3 linked regions of the Astyanax mexicanus genome follow. The protein of the gene in region 3 interacts with the protein of the main gene of each other region in a pairwise test. Links are inferred from orthologs where the notes say so. Each region holds a gene or a part of one and is shown on either strand. Other genes may lie near its edges. The genes, in order: fas-binding factor 1 homolog, pak5 and tubgcp4.

Region 1 (8,048 bases), on a different chromosome or scaffold from region 3:
GCAGTGTATACTGACAATAACGCAGCTACCTATGCTAACTCAACATTCCAACAAGATATTTAAAGCATATGTGGGGACAACACATAGCTTTCTAGCCAGACAACTTATATCCACTGCCTTTCAACAAAAAGGAGATGCATCTGTGGTTGAAGGAACTAAAACATCCATCCATCATGTTATGATGAGTGATGAGTAAAAAAGATGCATTGGGTGGCATGAGGCTGCAGGAGAAGATAACAGGTAAACCTTTCAAGCACCACTGACACCTTCACTTTACTAGAGATTTACAACCAAGAAATGTATCTGGGTTAGGATTTTCTGGTATTGGTTTCTCCTCTACAAAATGATAATAGCAGACATATGGATGTTCAGGTGAATGTTTTATATTTAGCTGCGTTAACTACAAATGCAGCTCCTCTTCTGTGGAAAGTGACGGATATAAGTTAAAGGCAGCTCCACAAAACTGGGATGATATTTTTTATTGATAGCAGATTAGGATAAATTTTAGAATAATTTCAATTGGATTCATTAATTAATAATAGGTAATAGTTCTTGTCATGTTTTTTAATTTGATTTGAAAAATCTTTATATTTTTTGTTCCTTGAAACATTTTGGAGATGCAGCTTTGAATCTGTAGATGCAGACTATAAATCAAAAGCTATTATAATTCATTACATAACATCCAATAATATTACAACCCACAATAATATTTCTTTGATTCCCCAGCCATGCAAAGGCTTCATTGTCAGATTAGCCTTTTTTGCTTTTTGGAAGCCAAGATGCTAATGAGATTTAAGAACATGTGAGAAAGGACAGGTGATTCTGTTGAATAAATGATTTTGTGATTGATTTTTTTGAATGTTGACTTTTTTGAATGAGTGTACAATATTCACAAGGAACTTGATTTACTATTAAATTAATAGAAATATACATTTAATTAAACTTAGATTTATGTTAGTATTAGACAACATTATTTAACAATATGTTAACTTTTTTGAGATATTGTATTTTTTGCACTATAAGGCGCACTTAAAATTCTTTAATATTCCCAAAAATCGTCAGTGCTCATTTTAATTTTGTGCGTTTTACTTTTAAAGAAAGTCTTTTTATCACGGTTTTGTTACTAGGTTAGCTTTACTTAGCTTAGTTAAGTTAGCTACCCCTCACCACCACCCAGCAGCATGGTGAGTGAGACGTAAGGTTTGTTAGTCACACATGAGGTTGTGATCAGTCACAGGCATTAAGTTAAAGGCCTGAAGGATGTGAGGGTCAGCAGTGCTTAAACCAGCTGCTACAGCCTGCAGCCGTTCACTGCAGGATCCCTACATTGTGATAGTAAAGAAAACTCCCATAGCTACATTTCTGAACTTCTTTTACAAATTTCAGCTAATCAGGTCGATATTTCTCTAGGTTTTCTGGGTGATGGGTCATAATGTGCCAAGGCTTTAAGGGGCTGGCACAATTTTAAACTAAAGTGCTATAGGGTACTCCTGCATCCCTGCTTCTTCAGTACCATGTGAAACAGTTTTCCCTTTTATTGGCAAAGTATCTCACTAGTATCAGTAACACTGGGCTAAACTGGGTCAATGCTAAGGATAACCCTGGATATAAAATACAGGACAATAAAGTGACATGTTAAAAAAAATCATACAAAATTAAAGAAGAAAAGGCAAAAGAACTTTAACATAACAGCTCTAAAAAAAAAGCTCTAAAGCTGTGCTCTAAAGTGTCTCAAACTGGGATAAGCAAACTAAACTGCATCTAAGAAACAGAGCACCACACTTCCCTGCACTTAACCACTAAACAAATATGTGTAAACATAAAACTAAAAGCTAAACTATGCTAAGATAACCAATATACAGTACATAGCATGGAAGCGGCTAATTAAAAACCATATGTTTTTCCCAAAAATAGGGATTGATTGAGTCCATGTACTGTGGAAAAATATTGTTTCTAAATGAAAATAAAGTCAATCTTTAGAAAAGCTGCAACAGTTTTAACATAACCATCTTAATCATATTGGATTTATTTTAACATTAAAATCAAATAAACATAACATAACATAAATAGATCTCTACTGGTATTTTAATCTCAGTGTCTTCATGAGGTAGAGTCACCTGGAATAGTTCCTGGTGGTGCTGAACAATATTTGCTGCTTTTCCTTTACGCTGTGAAGCTCCAGCTCATCCCAAATCTCATCTGATCAGGTTTAGATCAGGAGATCGTAGAGGACAAACAATTTTAATGTTACGTAATTCCATATGTGTCCCTAATTGTTTTCATTTAGAATTAATCTACAATGTATAAACAAATTAAATAAAAAAAAAAAAACCTTTGAATTAGAAGGTTTGTACAAAAATTTACCTGGACCTGGAACACAGTCACAAACATACAAAAAAAATAAAGTTTTGCGCATAACAACATTAAATCATTGTCAAACCAGTACACAGTACACAGTTTTGAAAAGGTTTTATAATAAAGTAGTATAGTTATCTAAATTTTTAACTGGAACACTGTCAATTATGATGTAACTTATTTCCCAGCTCTGATATCAGACTTTCGAGTTAAATGGAAAACAGTATGAGCGTTCTCATATCTGCTCATATCTCGCCACTCTCACAACCTGGCATGAAAAGCATTTATAGCTGGAGGGAGGTCCTTTAACCCCTGTGACCCCTGGAGACGTGCAACTGCCACGCATTCCAAGATTCCATCAGGCCTGTCTGTGCAGTTCTAATGCAGATGGCTAGGCTGCTTTGTGTTCGTTTGAGACTGTCCTTAGCCCTTTAAGACATGATGGTTACTGTAAGAATCTTTAGAGTTTTTAAATCATGTCTGGGTGAACATTTTTTGGATTATTTGATGATAATTTTGAGCACATAAACCAACCTCCATAGCAGCGTTCACCAGTATAGTCTATGTTTTCTTCTGAATAAGCAGCTTTTACAACACCATGACCATCAAGACCAGTTTGTACCAATAAAACCAGCTACCAACTGGTTTTGAGCTGGACTGTCAGCAGGTAAACTGGGTACACAGATTTCTAGAAGAATAACAAGTTTTGCCTTTTCTGTTGAGGGCTGAATAAGAATAACTGTGCTGCCGTCGCCCCCTGGTGGTCCCAGCAAACAGTGCCAAATATAAATCAGTAATTTAACAGATTTCAAATTAATGCTAAACATTTAACATTAACTTCAATTAATTGTCTTTCCAATCTGACGTTAATTCCTCATCACTTTTGCACACTCAATTCATATTACATTTACATCATTTATCTGACGCTCTTAACCAGAGACTTACAAGGTTATTCCTATTACAGAGGTGAGCCAATGTAGTGTTACGAGTCTTGCCCAAGGACTCTTACTGGTTGGTGTATTAGGAACTACTGGTGTACCAGGAATTAAACCACAGTCTCCCACATTATGTGATAGCTCATAAGCAGATGGTGGTGTTATGCACTGCAACCACATATTTCAAAACATGTTGATTGTAGTCCTGTAATCCATAATTTTGTTTATATATTTTTCAATTAAAAAAAATGAAATAATATTGACATTTTTAGAAAAATAAATCAACATAAAACAAACTATGTTAGAAATTTTAAACATAAAAAATGTATTACTGCATAAGAAAATTGTAAATCACTCCTGCTTTATGTACAACAGGAATTATTTTATGAAAAACAGAATAACAGAATAGCTAAACAATAAAGAAAATAGAATTTTAAAATGTGACCATTTTACTTTTGGTACTCATTTCATGAAATAAAGTAGGTAACTATAAATGCAAATAAATATATCTGTGTAATTAAATAAACAAATAAATGTTTTTTTAATAAACCCTTATTTATTTTACCATTCACACTTTGACATAAAAGTCTGATAAAATTAGATAATTAAATACATCATAGCATGACTTAATGTTACATCAATGACTTAATCTTACTAGCTACATGTTTAAATACTGAAGACAGGCAAGTGTAACATTTGTCAGTTCAGTTTTCTGACCACTTGAGGCTAAATTTGAAAATAGAAAATTGTGTTTTTGTTTGTTTTTCCAGTTTTTACTGTTTCCATTACTGCCTAAAAATTAAAAAATTGAAGTGAAATTTTCGCATTTATCCTCAAAACGTCAGAAAGCTAAACTGATAAACAATAATAATAATTTACGAATTGATTATAACCCCTGTTGTAGCGGGAAATGACTGTGAACCGCTAGAGGGAGCCCACAAGTTAGCCCTCAATGAGTACTGCAGCTCTGAACATAATTATTGACCACAGAATTTAATAGAGGCGATATTTTAAAAAGCTCATTCACATTCAAGCCATAGAAAAAATTCAGCTTAGACACGAAACCCCAAATATGGGCATACAAGGACTAGAGAATGACATGACTGCAGTGGTGTATGGAGGTGAATGGAGATAATTATTTGAAACTCAAACTAAAAATAGTATACTATCTACTTGCCCAGGGTATATATTCCTTAAAAAACGTACCCGTATGTTTACTTCTTTTTTACAGTATGTTTTAGGCAGTAAAGGAACTGTATTACTGCTACTGTGAGCTGATGGAATTACAGCGAGAGTGCGTTTTAAAGCTTTATAGCTGGCATTTGAAAGCTGTATTTGAATGTCTGATGTTGTTTAGTGATGAGAAAACGAGTAAACTCTTCAGTATAACAATGATTCAAACTGTACAAACTCAAAAGGGCCTATTAGTTGGGTATTCTCAGAGAGAGAGAGAGAGAGAGAGAGAGGAGAATAATCCTCAGATCTATTTAACTGTTACAGTGATGGAGACATAATTTTTAAAGATTTTAAACTTTAGTTATAGGGCTTTTAAATATGCTCTGACTGTATCTCCAGCATCAACTCACCAACCAATCAGTGCCTAAAAATATAGGGGTATGGTTTATTTGCTTCTTTTAGCGAAATAGATTATTCTAATATCTAAAACTAAAGGAATATATTTGACAGGTGATTAAACTGACTCCGAACTACATTACCCACAATTCAACACAGGAAACACATAGCACGTAGCACAAAACACAGGGTTTAAAAGTGTAGTAGAGGACAGCAGTCTGTAATCGGCTGCAGGACCGGCGATTTTGGGATAAAATTAAGCAAGTTCGTAGCTGCTTCCTTTAGCATGACCAGTAACGACTAGGTTCAGTTAACTTGAAACTACCTAACCTAGCCTAGCCTAGCTTAGCCTAGCTGACTAACTGACGCTAGGTAGCGTTAGCTAATGAACTAATGAGCTAACCAGGTGTATTATAGTGGAAGAATAGAGGCGGACAGGGGAGCAGAAGCCTGATATCTTCAGTCATTTTGATTTATGGAGAGAAGAGGTGGCGATAAAGCGGGATAAATAATTATAGAAGAGCGGAAATGTGGGTTTAGCCGGACATGCTGTTGCCAATGGCGACATGGACGCTCAGGCTGCTCTGATTTACTCTCTGCGGGCTGAGCTGAACACTGCAGGGAGGAGATGGTAAGAGTCTCACAGCCTCTGTTTACTGCACAGATTCACTGCATATCCTCCACCGACAGACAGCTAGCAGTGTAACCTGGCCCTCCTGAGCTACCTGAGATCATGATATAGATAGATTATGATTATGGATAGGTCAGGATATAGATAGACTCATATAGAGACAGATATAGGGATACAGTAGCCTGGAAGGACTAAGTTACTGATCTTTGATTAAGAAATAACAATAAATGTCAACATTTTATTATACAAAAATATGTATATAATAGTAAGTATTAGTATGAAGGATAAAGCATCATATTAACTATAAACTTCTCTTTCTTTTAACCACTGCAGAGTTTAAAGCAGCAGAAGAAGAAGGGGCTGAGGGGTAAGTGCTTCAACTGTAGGACCACATACACAACCTGTTACAGCCATCATACTGTGTTCATACTGAGTCCAGACTTCACCTTGCTTTAGGGTCAGTTGATGACGTGTTGGGGGATCTCTTGGGAGACAGTGATGGTAAGATTCCTGTGTGTTATTTGTATAACTTTTGCATAAAATGTAAAAAGAACTTCTGTTTATCCCTGTGATTCCAAATGTAGAAGGGGGAAAATATATTTAGATTTTTTAAAATATAAATCAAGTGTTGTGGTGGTAACAAACATATTGGAAAGACTATTTTGTTTTTAACTAATTTTACTTACATTTTACAATATGTGCACTTCAGTGCACAACAGGACTTCGGTAATCACAAATGTGAACATTGACAAAATTCAAGAGCAGATTATGAAAACTGAAAGCTCGACAGAATTCGTTGTAATGCCCTCAAACAATTCTGCTGATGATTTGGGTTTAATATTAAGAGAAGAATATGAGATAAAAGATCAACATTTTAGCTTTTATTTCCAGGTATTTACATCTGGGTCTGATACACAGTTGACAGAAACATTGTGCATGCTGTAAAGAAAGGGACAAAAACAACTGTTTGTGACAGGAGGGCAGGAGGGAAGCTATAACAGTCTTCATGAACAAAAGTACAGAGGCTTTACCAGATATGAAAACCACTAATTAACAATAAGAATAGGAAAGCCAGGCTGGAATTTGCCAAGAAGTACAGAGAGAAGTCTATGGACTGATTATAGACTGATGACACAAACATTATCCTTTACAAAGGTGATGGAAAGGCTAAATTTTGGAGTAAAAAACTTATTAGTGAAACACAGGGGTGAATATCTCATGGCTTGGGCTTGCATGGCTTCTTCTGGGATTGGGGGGATTAATCTTCATTTGATGTAAAGGGTACTCAGAAGTCTACTTTTTTTTTTTTTGTCAAATTAAAGAAAGATTTAACTAAACGAATTGGGAGATCCTTCATCACGCAGCAAGATAATGACCCAAAACACACTGCCTGCAAGAGCATCACAAAAGAAGAATGCAAATGTTTAGGTAATGTCATTGGGTCACCGTTTTGATGCAGTTATTAGAAAAGTTAGAAGAGTGGCACAAAATTTAATTCCCGGGTCTCAGGTGGATAAGCTAAAATAATAAGAAATAGTACAACAAAACTCCAGAAATACTCAACGCAAAAGTTTGTCCTAAAAGCTGAGAGGTCAGCCTCCTTTAATCACATAGGATATCAATAACATTGTCCAACCTTTCAGCAACTGACAGCTGCATACCTTCTTCCTATCATAATTTGTCAGATTGTCTCAGATTCTTTCTCTTCTCCATTTTCTTGCTTCAACACATCGACAGTCACTGCCTAATATATACCACCATTTTTACAGGTTTGCTACTGAAAGCAGGAAAATGTGTTTTTTTATGTTGTGTTATGTTTCATGTTGTCAGTGTAAATAAATGTTAGTACATTGCAATGTCAGATTCCCTGTGTCAGTGCATCCTTGTAGTGTACATTTGTGCTTAATTTTGTGAAAAACTAAAACCCTTTTCATTTTAATCTGCACTGAACTTCAGTAAAAAAATGTATCTGAAAAAGTGCTTTTTGCCCTCTAGATCCTCCCAAGAAGACCAGATCTCCCGCTGGAGTCCTACCATCACGCAGCAGCAAGAGGTGAAAATATATATTTCTAATTTTAATAAAATAAAGTTATACATACCTTCAAATACACATACTTTCGAAATTATCTATATACTTAAACTGATCTGTCAGGTCTATTATCTGCTGAAAACAGGTCTCTGCTGGATGATGATGATTTCTTCAGTAAATTGGCGGAGGAGGCGGAGAAAGATGATGAGGTGAGAGAGTGGTATTATTTTTTTAAGTGGCTTAAGGAAGGTAATTAAGAGAGATAAATAGTGACTTGTGTTGTTTTGCAGGGTTCTGATGTGTCTGAGGCAGATCCAAAGGCTTTGTTGGAGAGTATGAAGGTGGTCGTCTGTTTACTTTTTAAAGTTATACTTCAGAATTAAATGTGCCTTAAATGTGCTAGCTCTGAAATGATTAACCATAGAATATAATGATATTTTAGTAATTTCCAATTACTTTTAGCAATTTTTCCATGTATTATTATTATTATTATTATCATTATTATTATTATTATTATTTGCATTAT
Region 2 (7,451 bases), on a different chromosome or scaffold from region 3:
ACAAGGTGCCAGTGTGCCCCGGGGCGTGAGAGGAAGTGGAACAGAGGGTGAGGATAGCGGGCATCTGCAGCAGGATGATGGTGTGGGCCGGGCAGAGAGGCGACTGCCCCAAGTGCCGGAGCTCTGGGCTTAGCCTGTCTGCAGTGGGATGCTGCCGTCGGCACTTTTTTTGGCCCAATCTCACGTCGGGCGCTTTCAGAGTGCGCATGGGTGAGCAGCCCAGGGCGAGGCCCTCACTGCACCTCCGCTGAGGAAGGGCCCGGGAATGCCATTCTCTCCATACATGTGCTGGATGACACTTTTATGGAAGCTAATGTTGTGCCGAGTGTGGCGATCTTTCCGGAGCCGTCGTTTGGGCAAAAGGGAATAATGAATTTGATACCAGGTAAGACTGTATGCAGTGGTGGAGCTTATTGTAGTTGTTGTTGTGTAGAAACCTTGTACAGTGCTAAAACTAAAGGTGTTAATAGGTTCTTAAGAGCAGTGAAAAGATGTGTATGAGGCTTTCAGACCACAACGATGACAGGTTACTCTATCATTTATTGTAACAGCTATTCTTCCCAGAATTACAGAGTTTTAGCTTAAATATAGAATATTATTGTTGGCTAATCAGGTGAGAACAGTTGTAGTTTGCAGTTGCAATTGTTTGTTTACTAAATGTCATTCATGATGTGATGACGCAGATGATGCATGTGTTCATTCATGCATTTAGTAACTTGGCAGTCAGACCACGCTTTAGATGACCACCTGTTTGGGTCAGACTCAGTTTAGACTGGCATTGCCTTTCAGGAATAGAGTGTCTTCCTCTCTGATTCTTTTGTAAGGTGAGCTTTCAAGTGTCTTTGAATGACCACACAAACACACACAGGTCAGCTAGTCCGTTCATTTCAGTCATGTGACCTTTGACATTTGATGTTCATTTAGCAATGTTATTATATTGTGAACTAGAGGATTATTAGGAATTCTTCTAGAGAGCCTGTCACATAATTCTCCAAAAAATAATTGTGAAAATGGTACAATTGTAAAAAATGCAATTACAAGTTACTTTTAAAGAGCAACGACCTTTTAATTATTGAGTATATTGTACATACTGAAAGTGTACAATATTTTGTCAGGTGTTAAACGTGTCTCACTATACTTTTATGCACAGGTAACCAAAACAATTGTTTGATCATTGTGGGCGAGTCGCTGTGCACATGCACACTGTAGAAGCGATGAGGCAACACGTTGAAAAGTGGTCGTAGGTTGCCAGTTGAATACAAAACCCTTATTGAGGGGGGTGACTATAGTTCTAAGGTTTGAACAGACTTGTGAAATTATACAGGAGAGAAGTTGTTCTGTATAAATAAAACTAAGAAAGTCAGTATATTGGTATGCTGGAGTATACTCGTATTTGTACTTGTATACTTTACATAAATGAGTGTAAATGTAGTAAAAATAATGGATAATTTTGAGGTGAGAATAAAATGAATAAAATGATTTATTGCTAGGGTAAATATAGGTTATGACCAAATATTGTGTGACAAGTTGATCATGTAATTATTGTGACTTATAGGCCAAGCAGGAATTGTGTTATTACATTTTTCCCATGCTTGCATATGACATTAATCATTTACAACCACATCTTAATATCTTTTTTTTTTTGTTCATGTCCCTCACTAATTTGTCAAAATGACGTTTGCTTAGATACTGCTGCCTCTATTTTTGTTTGTAAGTGACTCACATTTGTCATTAGTGTGACCTGTGGCCTAAAATGCCCACACTCATTATCACTAGCCACTGTTGGCATTCTTTCAACACTGGATGATGATAACAGTGATAAGCACACACACACGATGAAGTGCGAAAAAAAAAAAAAACTTGTGAATTGTGATCTGATGATCATTTACTTTGGTAACACAGGGTTATATCAGTGGTACAGAAGAGAACACATGGCCTGAATCAGATTTAAAAAATTGGTTCTAAATTACAATAAAAAAAACAGGAAAAACTAATTGTACCTTTTTTACTAGTCCTGTACTCAGTCTTAGTAAAATTCTCCTTGCACAGTCTGTGCATTTCTTTATTCAGTTAAGAGTGCTATGTGTGCTGAATGCCGCACTAAGGCCCGTACTTTAGAGGATGTACAGGGAATGGAATGGTCTTATAAAGTTGCTCCTGGAGGCCTGAGAGTTATCAGCACATGTGTACAGGAGCCTGAAATAGCCACAGGGCCTGTGCTGTGAGCAGGGCTGTTGGGGAAGGGCCAGACCCGCTCTGTCCCACACTGCCACAGTGCTGCTCTGAGCGGGAAACGCCTGCCGTCTCTCAGATGGCGACAGATGGTTCAAGGGACAAACAGAACTTAAGGATCTGTGCCTAGTTCCCCCTTTCAGTGCCACATCTCAGACCCATGGCTGTTGCTGAACATGCTGGACGAGGACATTAACTCCTCTATCTCTGGCCTGGCTTTGGGGCCTAGTACTGGCTAATATCGATAGGTAGGTATGAAAATATTTGTGTTATTACAAAAATATGGAAGTATCTTAATAGAAGACGATATTTAAAGTACAGATATTCACAGGTATATACACATTCTTTGTATACACATTCTTTGTAGTTTTAAGTTAAACTGTTTTTTTTCCTGCAATAATCATTTTATAGTGATTGATTTTTGTTCCAATCCTTTCAGCTCTCAGACAGTAAAATTTTTTTCTTAATTTTTTAAAGTTCTTAAGAATTGTATTGATAATTAAATATTAATTTTCCACTTTATTATATAGCAGAGAATCAGAGCCTCTGATTGGCTCCATTCTATCCTGCCTGCTCCTCACAAAGCCCTAAGGAGACATTAGAGCTGATATTAATTAAAGTTACAAAAAAAAAAGAAAATTACATAGGTTATTTCTGTTGTCATGGCAACCCAGACAGCACTGATTTATGGAATATACAATGTTTCCATTGATATGATGCATGTTTTATCGGTTGATATGGACAACACTAATAATCACCAGTATGAAGTGTCCAATTCTTAGAGACCTATAAACTAATGTACCAAAAGTCATGGCACAGTCAGTAGCATCATGATCCATGACTTTTTCCTTGTCCTATGGAAGCTAAAGGGTGCTGCACTGATCTGTGGGATACGTGTGTTGGACCCACTGCATTGAATGTGGATGTGATTTGTGCCAGAGAACTGTTCACATGGACAGTTTTAGCCAGACACTTCTTGTCACGATCATTGCCTCTACTGCACTGTCCACTGTGGGCAGTAATGTCTTCTATTATTTATTACTACTAGTCTGTAGCACTCCACCCCATTACATTTCATTTTCCAAAACAGATTTTGTTTGTGGCCCGCCATGTAATGGCTTGGGAAAAAAGCTTGAGTTGATACTTAAGCTTCTACAGAATTATTTTAAACTGTAGTATCTAAACTTCTACCCGAGTAATAAATGTCAATACTTTTGACACCTTTGTAGAGCTTGCTTGGACTTGCTTGTATAAAGAACATGCTGGCCAGTGTTTATAGTGCAATTCCATGACTTTTGGAATGTCAGTGCATATAACTATGAATTTTGCAGTGTGACATTACTCCTTGATCTGGGAATAGACTCATAAAATAACCACCAGACGAGCAAATAAAATCTTTCTTATGGCACCTGCTGTCTTAACCTTGGCTTAATTCAGTGTTTCATTCAGAGAGGCAGGGTTTTGTTCCTCAGAAATGTGCATGGTGCAGGATTGCAACACAAACAGGAGGTTTCAGTATTAACTCTCAGTGAATTTCCTTCTTCTGTCTATAAAATAGAACTTTTGGACTTCCCAGTGCACGAACCAACCAAGAAAAGAAAAGCCTACATTATGCATATCCATGAGCTCATCCACTGAGGGAATCCTCCACAACCCTCTAGATTAACATTTCATTCAAAAACATGCATGGCAGTTCAATCGCTTTTCTACCTAAAAGCCTGCAAATGTAAGTGGTGTATGCAATTAGATTCAGTGATGGGTTTGCGTGTGGTTGACTTTTTACTGACAGCAGAGAAAAAAAGGCTCCCAGTGCCCTGCATTTCCTTTTTTTCCCCTTTAACTGTTGGCCCAGGATGCCTTAAGCCCTCTCTAGTCTGTGTAATCTCATTCCCAAGACGTCCATACTCATCTAGGTCATAGGTTTCATTTGGAGTATGACTGCAGACAGCCCCTTCACTCTCATCCCTCTGCTCATAATCCCGTCCAATCCCTTAAGCGTGGCGCGTTTGCGGAGCCGTGGCACAAGCAGTGCAAACCCCGGCACATTAAGGGCTTGTCTGGACGTCCATTGTCCAGAGTCCAGCCAAGCTTTACTGTCAAGTTTCGGAGTCGATTTTTATTGAGATGTCATGTCAGGATTTTGCTGTGATGTCAGGAATTATGACAGCAGGGCTCCTACAGCACGTCTCATCGCAGTGTTTGGACTGGGGCTTCAGAGACCAGGCTTCTGCACTGAAGATGAAGACTGAGTCAGGTCTATATGATCATAGATTTTGCCATGTACAAAATATGTCAATGTCTTCTCAGTGGAATACTGAAATATTTGCCTAAAGCAGTCGTTCAGTCAAGTGTGCGATTCTTTAGTTTTGATTTGGGGCTATTAGGCTAGTGTAGCTAACGTGATCACCAGTTTGCTCTCTGCAAATGATCACATAGCAAAAAGTCTGCTGCCCACTGTTATTAAACATGATTTAGAGCAGGCTCAACTCTCCAACAACAAATTAGGACTAAAGGGCGTTGGTCCTAATAAACCCAGCCGGCCAGATGACACTCTTTCAGCTCCCATTCACTCCTTTAGCTGCCCATTAAGTAAATCGCATAGTGGGAGGGGGATAGTCTTAGCTGATAATCTACTCTGTAACCTTGGATTAAAGACACTTTCAGGTCTCTGGGTGAAAAGTGTGTACTTATTCTGGTATACTGTGTTTATGTTGTTTCACCCAGACTTTGTTCTTTGGCTTTTTCTGGATTTTATTGGCTTTGGCCAATGTTTGGAGAGGGCCCTTTAAATGGACAGATAAATAAACAGCAATAGGCCACATTGGCAACACTTAGTGTGGGCATGAGGCCAAAGGAAGAAAGGGCTTTTGGCATGCCCGCATTGCGTAGGAGATGAGGTGAGGTGATTGACAAGTCAGCAGAATACAGATAAGGGCGCTGATAGAGGGGCTGGGAAAGCAGTGCTGTGCACAATCAGCTGTTATTTTGGGTCGATGATACATGTGTAAGGTATGAGAACAATTACCAGCCAGGTCTGTAAGCATTTGAATAGTGACACAATTTTGTATGTTCATTTACACTATGCAAGGTTTAAAAAAAATAATTGTGCTTCTTTTAGATGTGCAGTAACAATTTCAGCCGTAATAATTCAATCCACATTTTTTAAAGGCACACTATACATCATTTGGTTGATGTATAGAGATTCCCCCTATAGACTAAAAGTTCACTGTGGACTAGCCATGCGTGATTGTTTTGAGCACAACAGACTGGCAAAAGGGTTGAAAGTAAAATACAAGTATAAAAAATCTAATCTAAATCTAGGGTCATCAGTAAATGCTAGTCTAGGCAGACTTATTCATTCTGTGAGTTTTATGGTTAGCAAACACGACTAGATCTTGTACCCGTGTTTCTAATGTAAAGCAAGACTGAACTGAGGGCTACTCAACTTTTGTTCACTCTGTAATGACTAATTTAATTATCTAAAACAGTATAAAATGAATTGATTAACTAAAAAAATATTGTATAGTGTGCCTTTAATGGATCGTGTATTTCTTTTTAAAACCTTATCCAGTTCTTTAGTTTTGTGGTAACAGAGACCTATTCTGCTGTCCTTTAAACACTATTAACAGACATGATTTACAGCTACCGCAGTTAAAAGCATCTCAAATAATAACAAAAACAGTCTGCAGTTTGCCTGTATTCTGCCATTTTTGTCCATACCATCAAAACCACTGTTGGGTTGTACTTGTGCACGGACAGATAATTAATATAATTCTGTAATATCTACTTGGGGGCTCAATTGATCAGCCTTGTTTTTCCAGTCCATCTGGGGGAATTTGCAGTCAACAAGTCAACAAATTGATCTCTTTGTAATGTCCCTTAAACTATTCCTGAACCATTTTTAACTATTTTTTTACTGGCTGAAAGAGCCAGTTTGCCATGAAGGGCTTTGACATCCACATGGATGTTACAAACTCAGGGTTTTCCAGCAGAACTCATGTGCAACTCATGTGCTCAGTGTTGGAGTTTCCAGAGGACAGGGGTCAGCATGGGAACACCCACTAACTGTGAAACACATACTTCTGCTAGAACCAATATTTGGTAACAATTTATGCTACATTCCTGTGTGCAGTGTGACGTGGTTTACCAGATGTTTTGTAGTAAACACTACATATCTGGAACACAAGACCTGCTGTTTTGGAGATGCGCTCTGAGCCAGTCATCTAGATATATGCTAATATTGGTTTTAATTTTTTATCAGTATTCAGTGTCTGCTGTATATAAGATGTTTAGTGTAGAATTGTTTCCATATTCTGCATGGAAGTTAAAAAAAATGCATATAGTGATTCAGCCTGACAAAATTTTAATATAAGCATTCGAGCAAATATATATATATTTTTTTTGAATGACAGAACTACTGTGATTTCTGTAAGATTTCTTTAATTGTTTTAAATAACTACACGTGGGAAATAATTCATATTAAATTACCCCACACTTTTCATCACTGGCTGATATTTTTTTGTACTATTTAATAATTGATTTCTAAATTGTTAAGGCTTTGTTAAGGCTTTCCCTGTGCACTCATGATCTGAGATGATATGTATATGATGTTTATGAAGCCTGATGGCAACAGTCCAGCTAAACCTTTTTAATAGTGGAGAAGCCCTGAGTGCTTGTACTCTGTTCCAGTGCAAATGTATGCATGTGGCATATTCAGATTAGAGCTTCCAACTTTAGCGTCATCAACTGTGTTTCCAGAGCCTGGTTTGTTATCATCATAAAAAAAATCAACCTACTTTAAGGGTTAACTGCCTTGACTGAACACATGAGAGAAATTGTGTAGTACTTGGGCTAAACAGTGTATAGTTTCATTGTTATTGCAGTGTTGTCCTTTGCAGCGGAGATGTTGCTGCAGACTGCAAGTATGCAGTATGCAAATGAGGCCTTTAATACATCACATGTTTTAAGTGTGTTGTTTATTGTGAGCATGCTGACCAATATTGGAATTTCCTGATTTGTTATTGTAGGTATTTTGATGAACCAAATTTCTCACATGATCTAACAGAAATAATTATGTTGCTCAGAATAATCCAGATTGATTTGTTTAGTGAAGTAACATAAAGAGGTTACCAGTGTGTTTATGTGCATGACCAGGCATATCTAAGTCCTGAATATGTAGCAGTATAAGCAAAATATACGTTTTTATCTACTTTTTTGAA
Region 3 (7,590 bases):
GTCCACTAATTAGCATCACAGGTGTCTTACAATATTGTAATCAGTCAGTGGGCCTATATACAGGGCTACAGGTAGTCACTGCGCTGTTTGACGACATGAGCTGTCTCAGGAGATTAGAAGGAAAAGTAAAAACAAGCATGTTAAAGGTAAAGGGTTTAAGACCATCTCCAAGCAGCTAGAAGTTCCAGTGACTACAGTTACTTATATTATTCAGAAATTTAAGATCCATGGGACTGTAGCCAACCTCCCTGGACATGGCGGCAGGAGGATAATTGATGACAACTGATGACAGATAATACGAATGGTAATAAAAGAGTCAAGAAAAAACAGTAAAGAGATTAAAGGTGAACTTTAAGCTCAGGAAACAGTCAGTGTCAGATCGGGAAACAACCAAGGAGACGTCATTGCTGAAAACAAAACATAAAAAAAGCCAGACTGGAATTTGCCACACTACATGTTGACAAGCCAAAAAGCTTCTAGGGGAATGTCATATGGACTGAAAAATGGAAGACAGACAGAATACAGACAGAAAAATGTAGCATATGAAGAAAAGAACACTGTCCCTACTGTGAAACATGGTGGAGGCTGCTTTACTGCATCTGGCACAGGGTGCCTTGAATCTGTGCAGGGTACAATGAAATCTTAAGACTATTAAAGGATTCTAGAGAGAAATGTGTTGCTCAGAAAGCTTGGTCTCAGTCGCAGGTCATGGGCCTTGCAACCAGATATTAGCCCAAAACACAGCTTAAAAACACCAAAGAATGGCTAAGAGGAAAACATTCGACTATTCTGAAGTGGCTTTCTATTAACCCTGACCTAAACTGAGCATCTTTGAAAGAAGCTGAAACAGGCTGTCTAGAAAAAACACCCTTCAAACCTGAGAAAACTGAAGCAGTTTGTTCATGAAATACCTGCTGAGAGGTGCAGAAGTCTTAGGAATCAATTGATTGCAGTGATTGCCTTAAATGGTTGTGCAAGCAAATATTAAGTTAAAGGTATTATAATTTCTGTCCAGCCTGTTTTATGAGCTTATTTGTTTTTAAATAAATCTGTTGAAGCATGGTTGCAAACAATGTCTGACCTTCGTTTGTTCATTTTCATAACATTTTAATTATTATTACTTCTATCAGATTCAAATTTTCTGTGACCATTGTGTGTTTTTCTTTTATTAACTGAGGGTACCAACAATTTTGTCCATGTCTGTACATATGGAGAGCAAACAGCCATGCTTCTTTATCTTAGGAGCTACAATTTAAACTTTGTAAGAAAACACTTCGTTTTCTATCACAGGCGATGATAGTGACTCACGGCACACCATCTTAATGAAGCAGAGGAGTGTACTCAGTGTCAGACTCCTGCTCAACAGACAGACTGGGTCAGTCACCCACAGGTATGGATGATCAGGGGCGGATTTGGAAGTTCTGGGGCCACAAGCAATGTTTTTTTTCCGGGGGCCCTGATCAAATGGATTCTTTTGTATAGCAAAATGCAATATTGACTCTGACGACCTAGCTGTCTCTGGTGCCTCATCCTCACCAGACGATTCTTTTCTTGCTGCTGTGAAAAAAATTGGTGAGCTTTGTTAAGCTTTCTGTGCTGGACTTCCTTTGCTTAATTTTCTTTCTTTTTTTGGGCACCAATGGGATAAGACCAATTTATGGTTGTGCCGAAGCTACCTTAGTCTACCTCGCCTAGCTAAACTTGCATGTACAAAAAATATATATATATTTTTTTCGTTTTTGCTTTGCGTGTTGGTAAAATCCACCCGTGTTAAGTATATGCACCTATGGGTACATGCACATGATTAATATACATTTTGTTACATGTATATTAGCACACCTAGTAACTTTATTCCAAATACAGTGTCATCTGCAACTTCCACTTTTGCTGTATGGATTATTTATTGGCTGATTGATTTACTGCACTGTTCTACCAAAGTTTTATATATCTATACTTCCTGTGTGTTTATGACTGTACAATGTGTTGTTTAAGCTACTGGATGCCCTAATTTCCTTTGGGATCAATTTAATGATCTATCTTTCTACACATATATTACTAAAATGACTAATACTGTAGTGTTTTGAGAAACACCGCCAAACATAAATCCAAAAGATGTAGTAATGTGAATGTAAGTGAATGAATAGTACCAACACACTACTGAACTTAATGCAGGATTTAACACAGTACTGAAACTTAGTACTGGAACTATTATGCACTCGTTTTACTTTCTGAGCCTTTAGCTTTATACCTCTATAGTTGCATTACTGTTATATGGGTTCTGTTTACAACAGTACGATAATTCCCTCTTTAATCCCCCATCACTGTTGCACTATTGTCTCTTGTCTCACGTATGTCTATATATGTGACCTTGTTATATTGTGCATTTAGTATCTCTCATTCTTTTATGATTCATATTTGTATATGAATATATTTGCTTTACTTGTTGTAACTTTGGGAAGGAGAGTATGTACCTGTACATATGCAGTATTGACAATAAAACTACTTGACTTGACTTTAAGTGCAGTGTATAGAAGAAGTCAGTGTGGCCTGGTCTGTGCACTATAAACAGCAGACAACAGTGCAACAATTACTGTTATTACCAATATTTCATAGTTTTTAGTGATTATATCTGAATAACTAGTTGAATATGATCAATAATTATATTCAGTATGATGAATGAATGAGATGATCGATCTCTTCTACACTAAGGGTTTCCACACAGCTGTGAATTAGGACACAAATATCACACTGGACTAAATTAATATTTATCTACAGCAGCTTACTATAGAGTAATATTTAATAACACAGAGTACTGGTTAACGGGTAAGTTATCTCATGCACATCTCGTTACCTGTAATCCATTCCTCTTATTCCATGTAAAAACAGTGCCGGGATATCCACTTAAAGCGAGCAGAAGCTCGTGGATCATGGTTACAGGTGATTATTAATATTTACAGTAATAACCGGTTACTCCACTGCATCCATTAACTTAAACCAGCGCGAGCTAAAGCAGCTAACACCAACACCGCCAAAACAGCCTCCCGGCGCCGGGAAATGTAGTCCTTCTGCCCAACGCAGCTAGGGAAATGTAGTCATTTAGCTCATCATAACTAGGGAATTGTAGTATTTTAGCTCAACGTAGCTAGGAGTTCGTCCCTTTTTGCTTTTGCAAAAACACATATTTAATAATAACCCGTTTTTAATGTTAGATCAAAGCAGGTTATGCTGCGTTTGAGCAGTGCTGCAAATAGGAAAGAACTATTAGTAAAAAAAATGAAATTGCACTGGAACAACGAGTTGTATTTACAAGTGGGAAGCTCGAAATTAGATTTTTTTTAATTCTTATTTTATTCTTATTATTCTTATATGTTGTGCAGAAATAATTAATTTTACGACAGTACAACACTTACATAGAAATAAAAACTCGAAAGGCTTCCTCATTTTCTTTACAGATTTTTTTTTTTTGGCAGAAATGCAATCTATATTTAAAAGAATACATTTTTGCAAAATATCTTAGGATCTATTCTATTTTGTATGTTTTTTTTATTTAAAATGGTCAAATATGCATTAAATATGAGGTCAAAGTTATAATTAGAATTCATAAAAGATAAACATTTAAAACATTAAAAACAAAGTTTTTTATAAATACGGGAAATGTAGTCCTTTGGCTCAAGCGAAACATGGGAAATGTAGTCCTGTAGCTCCAGGTTTCCTTAATATTGTTTTGGCTGGTACTTAATCCTCACCTGTTATGTGGACTCGACGAAAAGAGGCTCTCTAAAGGTTCTGGTTTTACCTTCTGCTTTTCCGGACTCGGATAACCTACTGCTGCTGGTTTTACTCTCAGCTCAGCGCTGTATATAATATAGTAATCACAGGCGCCTCTAATCACACACACTGGCGAACAGATAGCCTAGCCTGCCGCTGCTAACGCGCTGTACTGAGAATAAAGGGGACCAGCAGCTGCTGATGTGGTATTATGGGCTGTAATTAATATATGTGTATAGTTTACTGTATTTATCTGTCTGGGCGCTTATTTAGCTTCGCTGTGTTTTTACAGTTTTTACAGCTGGACAGATGGAGGCAGATGGTTAAAGATGGTTAAAGCGGTTTAAACTGTAGGGAACTCAGTTAGCTAACTAAAATAAACTAATCTATCTGTCTGTAATCTGGACCTGAATAACTGTGTGTGGGGGGGGGGGGGGAGTGGGGGGGAGACAGTCATATAGGTAACGTTATTAATCACAGCTGGTTTAATGGGAGCAACAGGAAGCTGAGCTTCATGTTTACAGATTACTTTACCCGGCTGTTCTGTCAGCAGTGCTGAGTGAATTACACGGACAGTTTTACCTGGATATTACAGATAATGTACAGATACACTGCAGAAACAGATTCCAGTATCTTTGTTTATTATAGCTTTAATGTCTTCGCATTTTTAAAACATGACTTTTCTTTTAAATAAGTTAAAAATGGATCTACAGTAAATCCAGTTCTTGCTGAACTTTCTTTTACCCCTTGTGTTAACATGACTGAGTCAATATATCAGCTTTGTTTAAACTGTGTTTTTATCAGTATTCACATCCCAATGTATGAATATTTGCCTGTTAACTATTCTTTACAAGAGACGAGATGGATTATCTTATATTATTTTATTAATGACATAATTTGTCTCTAAAACTGTCAATAGTATTGTTTATCTCAATAATTATCTCAAACAATTGATCATCCAAAATATATCAGATTAGAGGTGTGCTGTATTGCATTGAACAAAATAATATCGCCAACATTTTTGAATATCGTGAACTATATAAGACCCTGAAATATGGTGCCATATCACCCACCCATAAATATCACATCAGGGTACTAGTTTATTACTATTTTTAAGACAGAAAATATCACACTGTTCTCATTTTCAATTGTATATATACTAGACAAAGATTACATCTGTCCAGTATCATTTATTTTACTTTAATCCTGGATATATGGAGATATATGGAGTGTATTATTAGTATCATCACATTCTGGATCATTGATTTCTGTTACAAACCTGATAAAATTTGTGTATTATTTAATATCTCAGTTAGGGGTGTTCTATGTAATATCATATGCAATAATAAAATGTTATTTTCTTTTTGTTGCAGTAATGTATTTTTGAATTTTTATTTTAATATCAATGTTTTGTCATATCGGCAAAAGTATCGTTATAGCAAAAATACCAACAGGTCAAAACACAGTTTAGAACTAATTGATGGAATGATTGGTGTTTTCCTTTATGCTTCATTCGTTTTTTTTATGTTATGATTAGTGGTGTTACACGATTAAAAAAAATATTCTGTTTAAGCATGATGAATTTCGCCTTTTCTTTTTTTAAAGACTATTTTTTAAATAGTTAATTAAATGTAAACAAAAGAAGCATTTATAGATTTGCAAAATAAAATTATACTTATGTAAGTGGTGTTATTAAAAACAAAATCTGTATTGATCAAAACAGTAATTAATTATAAGAATTAATTGCTGGTAGCTCTATATTCCACATGTAACAACCTGGAAAGAGGAAATGGGCTTTTGAGAAAGAGAGAAGGACTGGCTGTGTTTGTGTGTATATAGTTGTGGGTGTGAGAGAAAGAGTAGATAAAAAAAATAATAATAATAAGTTGACAGTCATTTTGTGCTTTAACTAAAGTATTCTTTACCCACTTTTTTAGGGATGGCAGAAGGGAATGGAGATGTTTCTGAGTTCCTTAGTCAAAACCCGCACCTGGCACAATGGGTGGAGTCTTTAAAAGAGCACAATGAGACCAGTAAGCAGTGGCTCGCCAGGCGTGAATTTGTCCTTCGCAACTTGGAGACGTTTCCAAACCTCCAGCCGGGCACCATGAGCCCTAGCCTCGATAAACTCCTCTCTCTGTCCAAGGTTTGGGCCAACTCTGTGTTCCTAGGCTGTCGGTAAGCATTCTGTCCTTGTATGCAATCTTTATAGAAACACAAAGGGAGGGGGTTAATGAACTCACTCATACAGTTTACACTCAACTTGGTCTCCATAAGGGACAAAACACAACAGATTACATATTTACTCACTAAATACCAGAACATTTTGTATGTAAATGTCTTCTAGACAATTTGAGGTAATTTATAATCCCTCATTCAGCTGTTTCTATCATTTTGAAATGATGAAGAAAGGTAGGATTAGCAGCTGTACCTACAAGAAGCAGAAATAGATAACATGGCACAGATAGCAGATCACAGGGATCACGATTCAATACATCACAATATATTGCCGCACTCTAAACAAAGTGACATTGTGATTAAATGATTAGATTAAATCAAATATAAGGAAAAAATCATATAGAATGAAAACATTGTTATTATAAAATAAAACATGAATAAGAATAGTTAATTTTTCATTCAATCAGATCCGGTTTAAATTAACTACTGTGTGACACCAAACTTTACACCTAAACCACTTATTAATATTCAAGTCTGTGTTTTTGAAAGTAATCGCAAACAATATAGTGTGAAATGGTATTGATATTTTCTTACACCCTTATTATCTGCTAAAGTGCATTAGCTACACAGTGCTGTTGTTTTAAACATGTGCTTTTGTTGTAGATACCCCCAGCCTGTGGTGAACAAGGTGAATGAGATGGCAGAGGGGATCACTGTGAACGAAGCTGATGTTTGTGTTCACAAGACGAGAGGTGAAATCGTAGGGAAGGGGAAAAGACCTTTAACTTCAGGTGAGACAGACAGTGTGGCCTGTATACAGTCATGGGACCGCACTGTGCAAACTAATCGTAAAAAGGGGACGGCTTAAGGATGCCTACACCTTTATACCGTATTTTTTGGACCATAAGGCGCATTGGATCATAAGGCACACTAAGCGACCCTAGTAGGGATGCCTACATCAAAGTGAGCAAGGGTGCATGTTTCCCTTCTAATGGGGAAGCTGGGGAAGCGCAGTTAACAAAACCGCCTTAAAAAAAAAAATAAGAAAAATGTTACCCTGAATACCTTATATTTGGGTGAGTAAAGTGCTTTTGTTCATTTGCAGTAAGCTTAGATTTCCAATATTTTGTGTAAGGATGAGTTTTCAGTGAAGATTCTCCAGCACTAAGGCTGAGTGCAGCAGCATTAGCATTGGCAGCTAACCGCAGCGCTAGAACCCTGAGTGTTCCGGTAACCCATGATGCTATTAGCTTGCGGTTCATCTCACATAGCTTGTTTTAACACGGCAAACACACAGAATACAGTCCAATATACTCACCTCTGAACGGTAAAAGAGCTAGTGCTGAGGTTAGCGGTTAATGCTAATGCTTATAGTGCTGCACTTCAGTGGAGTGGCTTTACTGCTCCTTAATACCTGACTGGTAAAATTTATACATAAAGCACACTGCCAATTTTTGGGAAAATGAAAGGATTTTAATTTAAATAAATACAGTATGTTTTTTGTTGTTTGTGTGTGTGTGTGTGTGTGGGGGGGGGGGTGTTAATCATGGTGAGCAATGGCCAAAAATACTGTTATCGTGATATCATATTATTTCCTTTTTGCTACATAATCAATATGTGGTGTCAAACATGAATATTTTTATT

What was found.
Region 1: the proteins of tubgcp4 (region 3) and fas-binding factor 1 homolog interact in a two-hybrid assay, tested with the Homo sapiens proteins (2 studies listed by BioGRID and IntAct). The two-hybrid records come from large-scale screens. The link is inferred for Astyanax mexicanus from reciprocal best matches to the Homo sapiens genes TUBGCP4 and FBF1.
Region 2: the proteins of tubgcp4 (region 3) and pak5 interact in a two-hybrid assay, tested with the Homo sapiens proteins (2 studies listed by BioGRID and IntAct). The two-hybrid records come from large-scale screens. The link is inferred for Astyanax mexicanus from reciprocal best matches to the Homo sapiens genes TUBGCP4 and PAK5.

The regions. Positions count from the first base shown.
Region 1 is NC_064410.1:17,740,341-17,748,388, forward strand, and holds the start of fas-binding factor 1 homolog, read left to right. Parts: upstream 1-5,013; 5' UTR 5,014-5,490; coding exon 5,491-5,493; intron 5,494-5,826; coding exon 5,827-5,860; intron 5,861-5,949; coding exon 5,950-5,994; intron 5,995-7,488; coding exon 7,489-7,546; intron 7,547-7,667; coding exon 7,668-7,731; intron 7,732-7,812; coding exon 7,813-7,863; intron 7,864-8,048. UniProt on the Homo sapiens protein: Keratin-binding protein required for epithelial cell polarization. Involved in apical junction complex (AJC) assembly via its interaction with PARD3. Required for ciliogenesis.
Region 2 is NC_064408.1:73,057,546-73,064,996, reverse strand, and holds the start of pak5 (serine/threonine-protein kinase PAK 5), read left to right. Parts: upstream 1-4,366; 5' UTR 4,367-4,380; coding exon 4,381-4,486; intron 4,487-7,451.
Region 3 is NC_064430.1:32,433,639-32,441,228, forward strand, and holds the start of tubgcp4 (gamma-tubulin complex component 4), read right to left. Parts: upstream 3,042-7,590; 5' UTR 2,930-3,041; coding exon 2,852-2,929; intron 1-2,851. Other genes in the region: CDKN2A-interacting protein, read left to right, coding at 5,708-5,946, 6,610-6,737. UniProt on the Homo sapiens protein: Component of the gamma-tubulin ring complex (gTuRC) which mediates microtubule nucleation.